Arabidopsis thaliana: one gene and its partner. The protein of the gene in region 1 interacts with the protein of each later gene in a pairwise test. Each region holds a gene or a part of one and is shown on either strand. Other genes may lie near its edges.

Region 1 (7,616 bases):
TCGGTTGTGCCTAAGATAAGATTACTTCAAGTTCAGGTCTTTCTGGACCAGTATAGAGATCCACGGTCTCGCTTTTTCTTCTGGAGCTTGGATAAAGGTACCTAAATTGGGGGAAGATTTAACACGCCAGAGAGTCTTTGATCAGAAAGGAAACTTAGATTGTAAAGCTTGACAAGTTTATAGATATATATATATATATATATATATATATATGTAAATTAATGTATGTTTCTCTGAGATTGCTGCTATATTGGGTAGAAACGTGGTAAGAGCTGTTGTTGTATTTCCTTTGTGTATTTTCAGTTTATATGGCAGAAAAAGAGAAGAAATCTTTCTTGTTAATAGTGACTTTGTTACTACATGCAACAACTTAAAAATATAGCTCAAGCAATGTGATCATGACAATAGAGAAGCAAAGGAATCATTGATCTTCAAGTTTATCATTTCATTACACTCAATAGTATAAAGATTAAAAGCAGAAATGGGAACTTAGGAGGAGGCTGCAGTAGCAGCAGCAGCTTGCGGTGGCGGTGGTGTTGGTCGGAGAGTGATCTCAACCTTATCGTGAACGCCTTGAAGCAAAAGTTCACCTTCAAATGCGACTATTTTGCGTTTCTTGGCAGCTCTCAGAGTCCCAACCAATGCTTCAAAGATGTTGGCACATCGATCGTCATTGAACAACACTCCAAACGTCACCTGTATTCAAAAGGAACAAATCAATCCTCATGATCAAGAATCAATCAACTGTGTTTGTTAGATCTGAGCGAGAGAAAAGAGTAAATGTTACGATCTTGATTCTTCAGATAAGAGTATTTGTTGATTGAAAATGAAATAATACAGATTTATTCCAGATATAGGGAGATCCAACAAGATTTGAGGAGAAAGAGAGAGACCTTGTAAGAGCCATCGGTCTGACGAGAACCAAGACGATGGATCTCTTCTTCCAGTTTCTGAATCTCTTCGTCTACGTTCATTCTTTCTTCTTCCTTAGAGATTTCAGGTCTCAACAGCCTAATGTTGTAAAAAGATTGGATTGAAGAAGAGACTCTTTCTGTTTCTGACGAAGACAGCTCGATGGACTCATTCTTGTCCCTCCTAATCCGGTTGAAAAGACCAAAATGCGCACACTTAACCGGTTTGAAAACCTTATCGTACCGATTTTTCTTCAACATTGAAAATTAACACACACCTCCGGTTTGAGACCTTAATAAATGATACGACATCAGCCGGTTTACCACGATTTTAACATTCGATTTTTCTCTATTTTTTTTTTCTTTTAGTTTATCCATACAAAAAATTACTGATGAAATAGCAAAAGATTGCGTTTAAGTTAACAACGAATATTTAAAGACAGAACAGAACTTCAGTTCCTCACTAAAACTGTATCTATAGATTTTTTCTAAACTTATTTGATTAATAAAAGCACAGGCTAATATTAGAAAGAAAAAAAGTTTTTATAAATTAAAAACTAATGTAATTAGGTAAATGAAAATGTTTATTCGCTTCTTTTGGACCATGGAGATTAAGGTGAAATTATTTAGTTGTTATCATTATAAATTAACAAAGGTTAAGTGAATATAAAATTAATTTGAATTATTTTGTTAAGTTGTGATTAAAGTTCAATTTCTTCTTCACGTTTTTAAAATTCTTGAGCAAGTAAAAATTATTTAGCGACTCTAATAAAAAGATCCTCCTCTCTTCGATAGAGATAGAGCTAAGCACGAAAATCCCGAGTAATTGACCTTCTCTTCTTCCCAGTGTTGTCTTCTCTTCTCCACGAACTTAATTTTTTCAAAACCCTAGCAACTTTGATTCATTCAAAATCCGATCCAACGATGACTATTGAAGAAGTTTCCGGTGAGACTCCTCCGTCTACGCCTCCTTCTTCTTCTACGCCTTCTCCGTCTTCCTCCACCACCAACGCCGCGCCGTTGGGATCCTCTGTGATTCCGATTGTAAACAAGCTACAAGACATATTCGCTCAGCTCGGAAGCCAGTCTACGATCGCGCTTCCTCAGGTTGTTGTTGTTGGAAGCCAAAGCAGTGGCAAGTCTAGCGTCCTTGAAGCACTCGTCGGCCGTGACTTTCTCCCTCGTGGTAATGATATCTGCACGCGTCGTCCTCTTGTTCTCCAGCTCCTCCAGACTAAAAGCCGCGCTAATGGCGGATCCGATGATGAGTGGGGGGAGTTTCGTCACCTTCCTGAAACTCGTTTCTATGATTTCTCTGAGATTCGTCGAGAAATTGAGGTTTTTTATTCCCTTCCTTGCTTTATTTGATACTCTATTGCTCTTCCAAGTTTGTATTAATGTATGAAATGCAACATCTTTGTAGGCTGAGACGAATAGATTAGTTGGAGAGAACAAAGGTGTAGCAGATACACAGATTCGTCTTAAAATTTCTTCACCTAATGTATTGAACATCACGCTTGTGGATCTGCCTGGTATTACCAAGGTGCCAGTTGGTGACCAGCCATCCGACATTGAAGCACGTATAAGAACGATGATCTTGTCTTACATCAAGCAAGATACTTGCTTGATATTGGCTGTTACCCCTGCTAATACCGATCTAGCAAACTCTGATGCCCTTCAAATTGCTAGCATTGTAGATCCTGATGGTAAGTTCTACTCACAAGTCCAATGACTAGTTTAATGGGTTGTATTTGACATTACTCATCTTCACCCTTTCATCTATCTATACTGTCTCCAGGTCACAGAACGATAGGTGTAATCACAAAGGTGCATATTCCCAGTCCAGACATTTGTTTTATTTCATCACCATAGGCGTCCCTGTCTTTCATGTGATTTACTATATGTTATTATCATGTTTTCAGTTGGATATTATGGACAAAGGTACTGATGCTCGAAAACTCCTTCTTGGAAATGTTGTTCCTCTTCGACTTGGATACGTGGGAGTTGTAAATCGTTGCCAGGAGGTAAACCTGTGGTTGCTCACAACTATTGCTTTTTAATTTATTTAGTGTGGCTCTTCTTTTATGTGACTTGAGCTTTATTGCTTCTGTTCTGTACTTATTTTTCTTATGATTCTCTTGCTATCATATAGTAGGCTGTCTCTTCTTTTTTTTTTTTTTTTTTATTATTCTACCTTTGGCTGTGCTTGTTTTTTAATTCTAATTTTATCACTTCGATGCTATTGTGACAGAATTTTTATTTTTTGTCTACTTTTTGTGGCGTCTGCATCTACAGTGTTTTGATCTTTATATTTTATAAACAGGATATTTTGCTAAACCGCACAGTCAAGGAAGCACTTCTCGCAGAGGAGAAGTTCTTCCGGAGTCACCCGGTATGCTAACATCATTTTGTTGATTCACTTTCTGATACTCTTGCTATTTTTTCTGATTAAAGCTGAGTCTTTTTGGTACCTATACAGGTTTACCATGGTCTTGCCGATCGTTTGGGTGTTCCTCAGCTAGCAAAGAAGTTAAATCAGGTATTTTCTGCAGTTATGGGAATTGGGAGTTCCTTTTTTCGTTATGTCAATCATTGTTCAGTAAGGCATAAGGGAGACGCTTTCTCTATGTTGAAATATCTAATATGGGATTATGGTGGAGTTTAAATGCATTATTCACTTTTTAAGGTTACTTACATGGCTGTGCGGATTCTACCCTAGCTTATTTTTTTGGCCTTGCATGTATATCTTTTTTTGTTTACAGACTTTAAGATACTTTAATATTAGAAAATGTCTGATAGAAGATGGCCTTTCTGTTGCATTTTTTTAGATCCTTGTTCAACATATCAAGGTCTTGCTTCCGGATTTGAAGTCGCGGATAAGTAATGCTTTGGTTGCTACAGCAAAAGAGCATCAGAGCTATGGTGAATTAACAGAATCAAGGGTATGTATTTTACTGCTCAATTTGCCATCTATTTATCGAATTCATTGTTTTGTTATTGGCTTTGGTACATTGCCATTTGTTCCATTTAATGGTGTGATTTGCTCAGTCTTTTCATTTGAATACAATTTTGCTCGTCCAGACTATTTTCTCATGTATGTGCTCAGGGTTCGTAAAGCCTTTTTGTTTTTAGACTACAAAAAAAATATCTTTAAGTCGTAGAATTAGCATTTAAAGGTGTTCTTATTTGTAGGGAAAGGTTGTTGGCCAATGGGTACTTCTTTTTTAACTTTTTTTTGCTTCATCTCTATGAGTTGTTTTTCTTTTTCAATTTTTAACTAGTCAAACTTATCTTATTCTATTGGTCTTTACTGTCCTTGAAATTCTTAGGCTGGGCAAGGAGCTCTTCTCCTCAACTTTCTCTCCAAATACTGTGAAGGTAATATGTGAAGACGATATTTCAGTTGAGACCATTGACATTTGTTTTATGTTTTCTATGGTTCATAGTGAGTCTCATGGGTAAATTTTTTTGAACAGCATACTCTTCATTGCTGGAAGGGAAAAGTGAAGAAATGTCTACGTCAGAGCTCTCTGGAGGAGCAAGAATTCACTATATTTTCCAGTCAATCTTTGTTAAGAGTTTGGAGGTTCGTTTGGGCAATCGTTAAACTTTTTTCCTTGAGCTTGAACAGTTGTTATACATTCCCGTTTCTTAACCTCGCCAATACTTTTGCGTACTTTCGGATGGTACACTGATGTTTACGGTTCATTTCATTGACATTGATAGAGAACTTTTACACTGCTTTGTTAAGCATTGGCTCCTCTATCTTATCTTAGTTTAGCTAGTGACATTATCCAAATGGAAATAATGTAGTATATTTCTGACGTTGAGCTCGTGGATCTCTGTAAATTTAGACTGATTGAATTCCTTCACATTGCCTCTTCAGGAGGTTGATCCATGCGAGGACTTGACAGATGATGATATTCGGACTGCAATTCAGAATGCAACTGGTCCAAGATCTGCATTATTTGTTCCAGATGTAGGTTTCTTAACATGTTTCAGCATATATGGAAGTTATCCTGGTTGTCAGGGCTTTCAAGCATTCATATGTTTCCTTGCCTTTTCCACTTCCCAGGATATCTAATTAGAGTCCCTTGATCTCGTTCAATTATGCATAGGTTCCATTTGAAGTTCTTGTTAGGAGGCAGATATCTCGTTTGTTAGATCCTAGCCTTCAGTGTGCCCGGTTCATTTTTGAAGAGCTAATAAAGGTGAGTGTTTTTTTGGTTTGTTGTTAATAAGTAATAAGATTACTTCATAAATTTGAATTTCTCTACAGATTAGCCATAGATGTATGATGAATGAGTTACAACGATTTCCAGTCCTACGAAAGCGCATGGATGAGGTTATCGGGGATTTCCTGCGAGAAGGTCTTGAACCCTCAGAAGCAATGATCGGGGATATCATTGATATGGAGGTCTGTATAATGAATTGAAAATCCTACGTTGAGTTGAGTTTCTCTATTGTGTATAAAGAGCCCAGACTAATATGTTGGTTGATTAGGGACCTTTTTTAATCTTGAGCAGTGATTTCCTCGTTTTTGATTGATTAGTTTCTTTGAACTAAAGTATTAGTGATGGTATCATAATTTCTTGAATGTCGTTTGCAGATGGATTACATAAACACTTCACATCCAAATTTTATTGGTGGAACCAAGGCCGTGGAAGCTGCAATGCATCAAGTGAAGTCTTCGAGGATTCCCCATCCTGTGGCACGACCAAAGGTATGAAGTACTCTGAGCAAATACATTAAAATTGGTTTTGGTTTCATATATACTCTGCAGTGTTTCTTATACATTTAAGTTGATATAGCAGGACACTGTGGAGCCTGATAGAACATCTTCTTCCACGAGTCAAGTGAAATCTAGATCGTTTCTCGGCAGGCAAGCTAATGGAATTGTTACTGATCAGGTATTGTCATTTTACATGTTATATATAATTAATTCTGTATATCATTGTGCACTATGGGTTTAGCCCTAAGGACCCATGAGCAAATTAGACATTTTCAAGATAAAGAGTGACTATTTGACACTTAACTCATGATTGTTCATAGGGAGTTGTATCTGCAGATGCTGAAAAAGCTCAACCTGCTGGTAATTTTCTCACCGCTGTCATTTTTAGCCTTCCATTTCGTGTTTTGGAAGATTTTTGGCTGTGTGATGAATCTCTTGCTATGTTTCAGAGACTGCGTAAACATGTATCTTGTCTCGATTCGCTAATAGCTTATAATCCTGAGTAGATTTTAATTGTGGTTTTGCTGACACATGATAGCAAATGCGAGTGATACAAGGTGGGGTATCCCTTCAATTTTCCGAGGGGGTGATACTAGAGCAGTTACTAAAGATAGCTTATTAAACAAACCATTCAGTGAAGCTGTTGAGGATATGTCTCACAACTTATCCATGATCTATCTAAAGGAGGTGTGTCTCCTGTGCCATCTTAGATGATTCATATTGCCAATACATGCTTACCTATTTGACTCATACTGTTTGCTTTGCTTTTCTGAAGCCCCCAGCTGTCTTGAGGCCAACCGAAACCCATTCAGAACAGGAAGCAGTTGAGATTCAGATAACAAAGCTGTTACTAAGATCATACTATGACATTGTAAGGAAGAATATTGAGGACTCGGTACCAAAAGCAATCATGCATTTCCTGGCAAGTACCCTCATCCCTTTCCCCAAGTTTCTTGCAGTATCTCAAACTTGTACGATATATCATCACCTTGATATTTGATTGCCCTTTGAAATTGTCTTTTGAGAGAGTTAAAATGAAAAGCCGTTTGTCCATCTTGTGTGTAATAATCTTGTTGCTATCTTACAGTAAATAAACTCTGAAGAATGAAGATGCTGATACCATTTCTTTTCTTTTTAATGCTTCAGGTAAACCACACAAAACGTGAGCTGCATAACGTCTTCATCAAGAAGCTTTACAGGTGATGCCTGTGTTTTTTAATTCCTCACATCTGTGTTTGGATTAGTAGTCTCTTAAAACTGACTAGTAGTTTCATCTGGTGCAGGGAGAACTTGTTTGAAGAAATGTTGCAAGAGCCAGATGAGATAGCAGTTAAGAGGAAACGCACACAAGAGACTCTCCACGTTCTTCAGCAAGCTTACAGGGTATGTTCTCAGCAAAACCTAACTCTGTACATCAATCGTCATAAACCTTGTTCCGTTGAACAATAAAGTCTTCTTTTCACTTAAAACTGTTTCTATGAAGAATTTATGTTTGATATTCATGTAACCATGTGGTCTTTGTGGGTGAAACAGACACTAGATGAGTTGCCACTGGAAGCAGATTCGGTGTCAGCAGGAATGTCAAAACATCAGGAGTTACTGACATCTTCAAAGTATTCGACAAGCAGCTCATACTCGGCATCTCCAAGTACGACAAGAAGATCGAGAAGAGCAGGAGATCAACACCAAAATGGATACGGATTCTAACATGATCCAAATATCTCGAATATCTCTCGACTGTGATAACGCATTTCATTCATTTAATGGCTCTTTCAGGTTTTGGTATTAAATTATGTGTTGGTCATATGAAGAATTTATATAGGAAACCAGTACACAGTGTGGGTTTTGGTCCTTTTGGACTCTGCATTGGTTGACTTGATAAGGGAGTGAAAGGTGATATAGTTTTTTTTTCCAATTTGTTTCAAATGCTCCCCCTGCAACAATAACGGGAAGCAAACACCTTTCACTCTAAA
Region 2 (4,595 bases), 5.2 Mb from region 1:
GAGGAATGAAGGAGAGAAGATCACCAAGGTGTAGAAATTTCTGAAGTCGTCTCCTCCAATCTCCACTATTGGTTTGTTCAGAACTTGAGAAGGCCTTAGATCCAAGCCATTAGTAACCTCTCTATGGCCATAAGTGACCTTAAGAGAGACCAACCTCGTGAAAGGATCAAGAACATCTCCAACAACACTGCCGACCACAAGAGGATCTCTACGACTTAAAGACATATTTATCTTGGATCTCAAGTATCTCAATCAAATGTTTTGCTTCTTACCTTATGAACCCTTACTTGCTATTCTTTATATAACGTTTTGGGAATTGCAATAATTAGCTATTTAGCTTTATTCTCTCCAATGAAATCATTACCAGGGTCTTTTCGTGTATAGTTTCGAGAATCTACAACTCGTTCAACGTACGTATATCACTTATAATTCATGTTTTTTTTTTCTTTCCTTTTTTCTAAATTTATAGTATTCTTATTCCAAAACCCACCAGTATAAAACAGAAATAATCATATTCCAAATTATACATCATCCACTTGTTTCTTGCTAGCCACTAGTATGTAATTTATTCTGACTTATCATTGTAACTTCATGAACTATTTAAAATAATGTCACAAGCATATAATATGCTGCATATTTGCGTACGTCACGCATTTTGCGTCACATGTCACTCATTTAAATAGTTAAGGACACTACATTACACCGATTATGTATGATGTTAATGCATTTTAGAATAACTCCTTCAACCTAAACCATCATATAAAAGTATATATGCTCCAGATAAATTGACGCCATAATTGTTCACATATCTGGTTGGTGTGTACATACGTACTAGACTCTTTTTTTTCTTTTCTTAATGTAGTACTAAACTTAATTAATACCATCAAAAATATCAATTTAACAAAACAAACCAGTAAAACTTTTAAAACAATGGAGTAAATCAAATAAAACAAGTAAATTAACAAATAGACACAAGGTAACAGAAGTATAATAACGACAGAAAAGTGAACAATTGGCCAAAAAATTCGTTTTCAAACGTGATTTCAAAATTGTCTCCAAATCTTAAATGTTGATAAAGTAATTTTTTTAAAATTCATTATACCTTTCAAAAACAAGTGTATTACCTAAAAGCTCAACCGTGTATTCTTACACTCCAAACAAATTTAGTTCCCCAAGTTTGGAAGACAAAAATTTCTAAGAAATTTCTGACAAAACACATGAGAAATAAACCGATAAAGACTTCTAAAAACTATTGCAGACCAGTTTCATTTGCTGACCACAAAAAGTCATGAGAATACAATTAGCTCAGTGATTCTTGATATTTCTGGTACCTAACAAAAAGAAAAGTGTGTGAGGTTAGATGGCTATGATTTTTGCTCTCCAATTTATTGTCCATTTCCCCAATTTGTAATATGAAATGCGCAAATTACTCTTCTTCCGATATGAATAAGCAAACGAAAACATACGTGGGACGTTATGTTCAGAACATTTGATTAAAGTTTATATGCGATTTTCATTTATTTATTATGAATTTTTTGTTTGGCAGCATGTACGATTTTTCATTTAACACACAAATATTATAGAATTTTCATTGGTTCAAAGGGGTAGACAAAAAATAATTTAATATTATTACACCATTTGCAGAAAATTAGAAAATATATTTTTACCCATAATTAATTGATCTATGGACGTATGCTTGGCATAAAAATTCATATTTAATTAGCAGAAGCCAATCGCTGCGTTTGTATATACGCGTTTATGACCGAGAAAAAAACCCTTACGCGTCATGTAAAAAAAAAAGAAGCGTAAATTACGAAAAACAGAGAGATAAATCCGGGCATTGAGATTTTGGAGATAGAGAGAGAGAAAAATCGAAATCTATTGTCTATCTCCTCAATTTGGATTGGATTTTCTGCATATCATCGCTCTAGCTTTCGCGGGTTTTGGATTCGATTCCTTACCCTTCTCCAATCGGTAAGAACAAGCTCCAAAGTTTGTTCCTTTTTTTCAATTTTCGCCAATTCTGTAATCTCATCATTGTCCTTGTTTGTTTGTTTGATTCAACACACAATTCTTGTTTTGATTTGGATGCAGAAGTTTTTGGCTTTGAATTGGATTTGGGTTTCGTTCCAAAATCAGCTCTTTTTGTTAATCAGGTGAGTTTTTAGGTATTTGAATCTCCAATTGCTTCCTTGCAATGACTAAGTATTGTGAAATGTTTAGGGTTTCATCTGTGTGGGTCTTGTTTTGAAGCAATTTGTGTGTGTTTGGATGAAAGTAGCAGATATGCAGGACCAGCTGGTGTGTCATGGTTGTAGGAATTTATTGATGTATCCTAGAGGAGCATCTAATGTGCGTTGTGCGTTATGTAACACTATCAACATGGTTCCTCCTCCTCCTCCACCTCACGGTATCGATTTCTTTGTTGAATTTGAATTGAGGATGAGGTTAATATGCTCTGCAATTGTATTATAACTTGGGTTCTGATTCTGAATACAGACATGGCACACATTATATGTGGTGGTTGTAGAACAATGCTTATGTATACGCGTGGGGCTAGTAGCGTAAGATGCTCTTGCTGTCAAACTACGAACCTTGTGCCAGGTATATTAATAATATCGTGACATCCATATCAATCCTTTTAAAGACCATGTATTATATTGCTTTATAAGGTCTTTTAGTCCTTTAGAATCTTCTTTCACACTTTTGTTTGATAACATTGTTCTGTGGAGATGATGCTTACGTAACGTATTTCCACTTTTCCCAAAGATGTATATGAATCTGAATTCTGAAAATATCTGGGATTTGTAAAGCAGCTGAAAGTACTTAAAACAAAGCTTTTAGATGGTCCCGGTGGACTAGGTAACTACTTGTTAGAGCTAGTAGGGTTTATTATTGTTTTGTTTGATCTACCATTAGATTCTTATCTTTAATTAGCGTCTAAGCTGTTGTCATTTAGCTGTATGATTATCATTTATCCATGACTGCTTAAGAACATTGCTGATTACTTCGTTCATTAGTATTTCTTGGATTTTTCTAGCATTAACATTGCTTGTTTTCTGAATCTGTGCGTGTCTTTTTTGAAATCGACAGCGCACTCCAATCAGGTTGCCCATGCTCCTTCCAGTCAGGTTGCGCAGATCAATTGTGGGCATTGTCGGACGACCCTCATGTATCCTTACGGTGCATCATCCGTCAAATGCGCTGTTTGTCAATTCGTAACTAACGTTAATGTGATTATTCCTATCTATTAAGCCACCTCTGCATGGTTGAGTTAAGTATAGAGATCTTTCTGTTGGAAATTTTCATTTCTGATTCATTTTGCATCCTTAGATGAGCAATGGAAGGGTACCTCTCCCAACTAACCGGCCAAATGGAACAGCTTGTCCCCCCTCTACATCAACTGTGAGTTATCAAATTATGAATTTGTAATAGTTCTGTATATTCTTATGGAACTGGTACTTACTCTGTTCATCGATTTTTCATTTTACCAACAGTCAACACCACCCTCTCAGACCCAAACCGTTGTTGTAGAAAACCCCATGTCCGTTGATGAAAGCGGAAAGTTGGTGAGTATTTCTATCACCTGTGTTCTTCTTCTTATTTACCACATTAGAGGAAGATATGACAAAGTGACTGAAACACACAAATTGCAGGTGAGCAATGTTGTTGTTGGAGTGACAACTGACAAAAAGTAATCAAGAATGAGTGAGATCTTAAAGATCAAATCCAAATTCTTCCTCTATTCCTGCGTTTGGTTTGTGCATATTACATACGCGGAAAAACTGTATGTTATATATCTCTTGACTCCTTTTTAACCCAAGAGAAAAAGCTTATCAGAATCTCTTGTTACTGCATTATTGGGGTTTATTCAAAGTTGAAGACACAAGGTTTTTGCTCGAATAATTTGGCATTCTTTTGCTCCATGGAACTTGACCTTCTCTTCTGTTTGTTGACTTCTAAAACTCCATCGGCCCTTGTGGCATTGTTAATGTATGTATGAATATAATCTGATACACCAACCAATCATTAAGATTTGGGTTTGAAATCTGTCTCTTCCGTGGATGAGATATGCTACATGTCACAAGAACTGGTCTTAGCTTTGGTAGATAAGACTTGTCTTAGAGCAAGTCTTGAAATCTGGAAATCTATTTTGCAGTAATCTTGTCACAACAACCATAACCTAATCAGTCAGTACCCTCCAAGAACATTAAAGTTAGATGATCCGACAAAACCTCTCAACAAGACCAAACTCTTTCCATATAAATACTCTTTAACACTGACACAAAGTTTCATCACTTTCTCTTGATCACTCACTGCATCAACAATGGCCAGAGAGAAGATTGTGGTGGCTGGTGGTACCACAAAGAGCTGGAAACTACTCTTGGGGCTGAGAATATTTGCATTCATGGCTACTTTAGCTGCAGCCATTGTAATGTCACTAAACAAAGAGACAAAGACCTTGGTTGTGGCCACCATTGGTACTGTTCCTATTAAAGCCACTTTAACCGCTAAGTTTCAGCACACACCGGCTTTTGTGTAAGCGAGTAAAACCCTATACGAAATCGATTCGATACATATTGAAAGCAAAATGT

What was found.
Region 2: the proteins of DRP3A (region 1) and LSD1 interact in binary tests that used the Arabidopsis thaliana proteins (3 or more experiments, as listed by UniProt).

Annotation. Positions count from the first base shown.
Region 1 is NC_003075.7:16,159,238-16,166,853, forward strand, and holds the start of DRP3A (dynamin-related protein 3A), read left to right. Parts: upstream 1-1,586; 5' UTR 1,587-1,835; coding exon 1,836-2,249; intron 2,250-2,334; coding exon 2,335-2,617; intron 2,618-2,709; coding exon 2,710-2,738; intron 2,739-2,833; coding exon 2,834-2,935; intron 2,936-3,234; coding exon 3,235-3,303; intron 3,304-3,390; coding exon 3,391-3,450; intron 3,451-3,739; coding exon 3,740-3,853; intron 3,854-4,240; coding exon 4,241-4,289; intron 4,290-4,387; coding exon 4,388-4,497; intron 4,498-4,797; coding exon 4,798-4,890; intron 4,891-5,029; coding exon 5,030-5,122; intron 5,123-5,190; coding exon 5,191-5,328; intron 5,329-5,520; coding exon 5,521-5,634; intron 5,635-5,722; coding exon 5,723-5,821; intron 5,822-5,963; coding exon 5,964-6,003; intron 6,004-6,181; coding exon 6,182-6,330; intron 6,331-6,418; coding exon 6,419-6,565; intron 6,566-6,789; coding exon 6,790-6,842; intron 6,843-6,926; coding exon 6,927-7,026; intron 7,027-7,176; and 2 more. Other genes in the region: AT4G33640 (costars family protein), read right to left, coding at 490-696, 894-1,172. UniProt on the Arabidopsis thaliana protein: Involved in the control of mitochondrial and peroxisomal division and morphology. In association with PEX11C, PEX11D, PEX11E and FIS1B, is involved in cell cycle-associated constitutive self-replication of preexisting peroxisomes.
Region 2 is NC_003075.7:11,002,741-11,007,335, forward strand, and holds LSD1 (LSD1 zinc finger family protein), read left to right. Parts: upstream 1-1,776; 5' UTR 1,777-1,974; intron 1,975-2,094; 5' UTR 2,095-2,156; exon of another isoform or gene 2,157-2,271; coding exon of another isoform or gene 2,272-2,286; coding exon 2,287-2,410; intron 2,411-2,499; coding exon 2,500-2,604; intron 2,605-2,689; coding exon 2,690-2,721; intron 2,722-2,816; coding exon 2,817-2,862; intron 2,863-3,093; coding exon 3,094-3,233; coding exon of another isoform or gene 3,234-3,254; exon of another isoform or gene 3,255-3,333; coding exon 3,334-3,405; intron 3,406-3,497; coding exon 3,498-3,569; intron 3,570-3,656; coding exon 3,657-3,698; 3' UTR 3,699-4,048; downstream 4,049-4,595. Other genes in the region: TSF (PEBP (phosphatidylethanolamine-binding protein) family protein), read right to left, coding at 25-225; AT4G20390 (Uncharacterized protein family (UPF0497)), read left to right, coding at 4,328-4,539.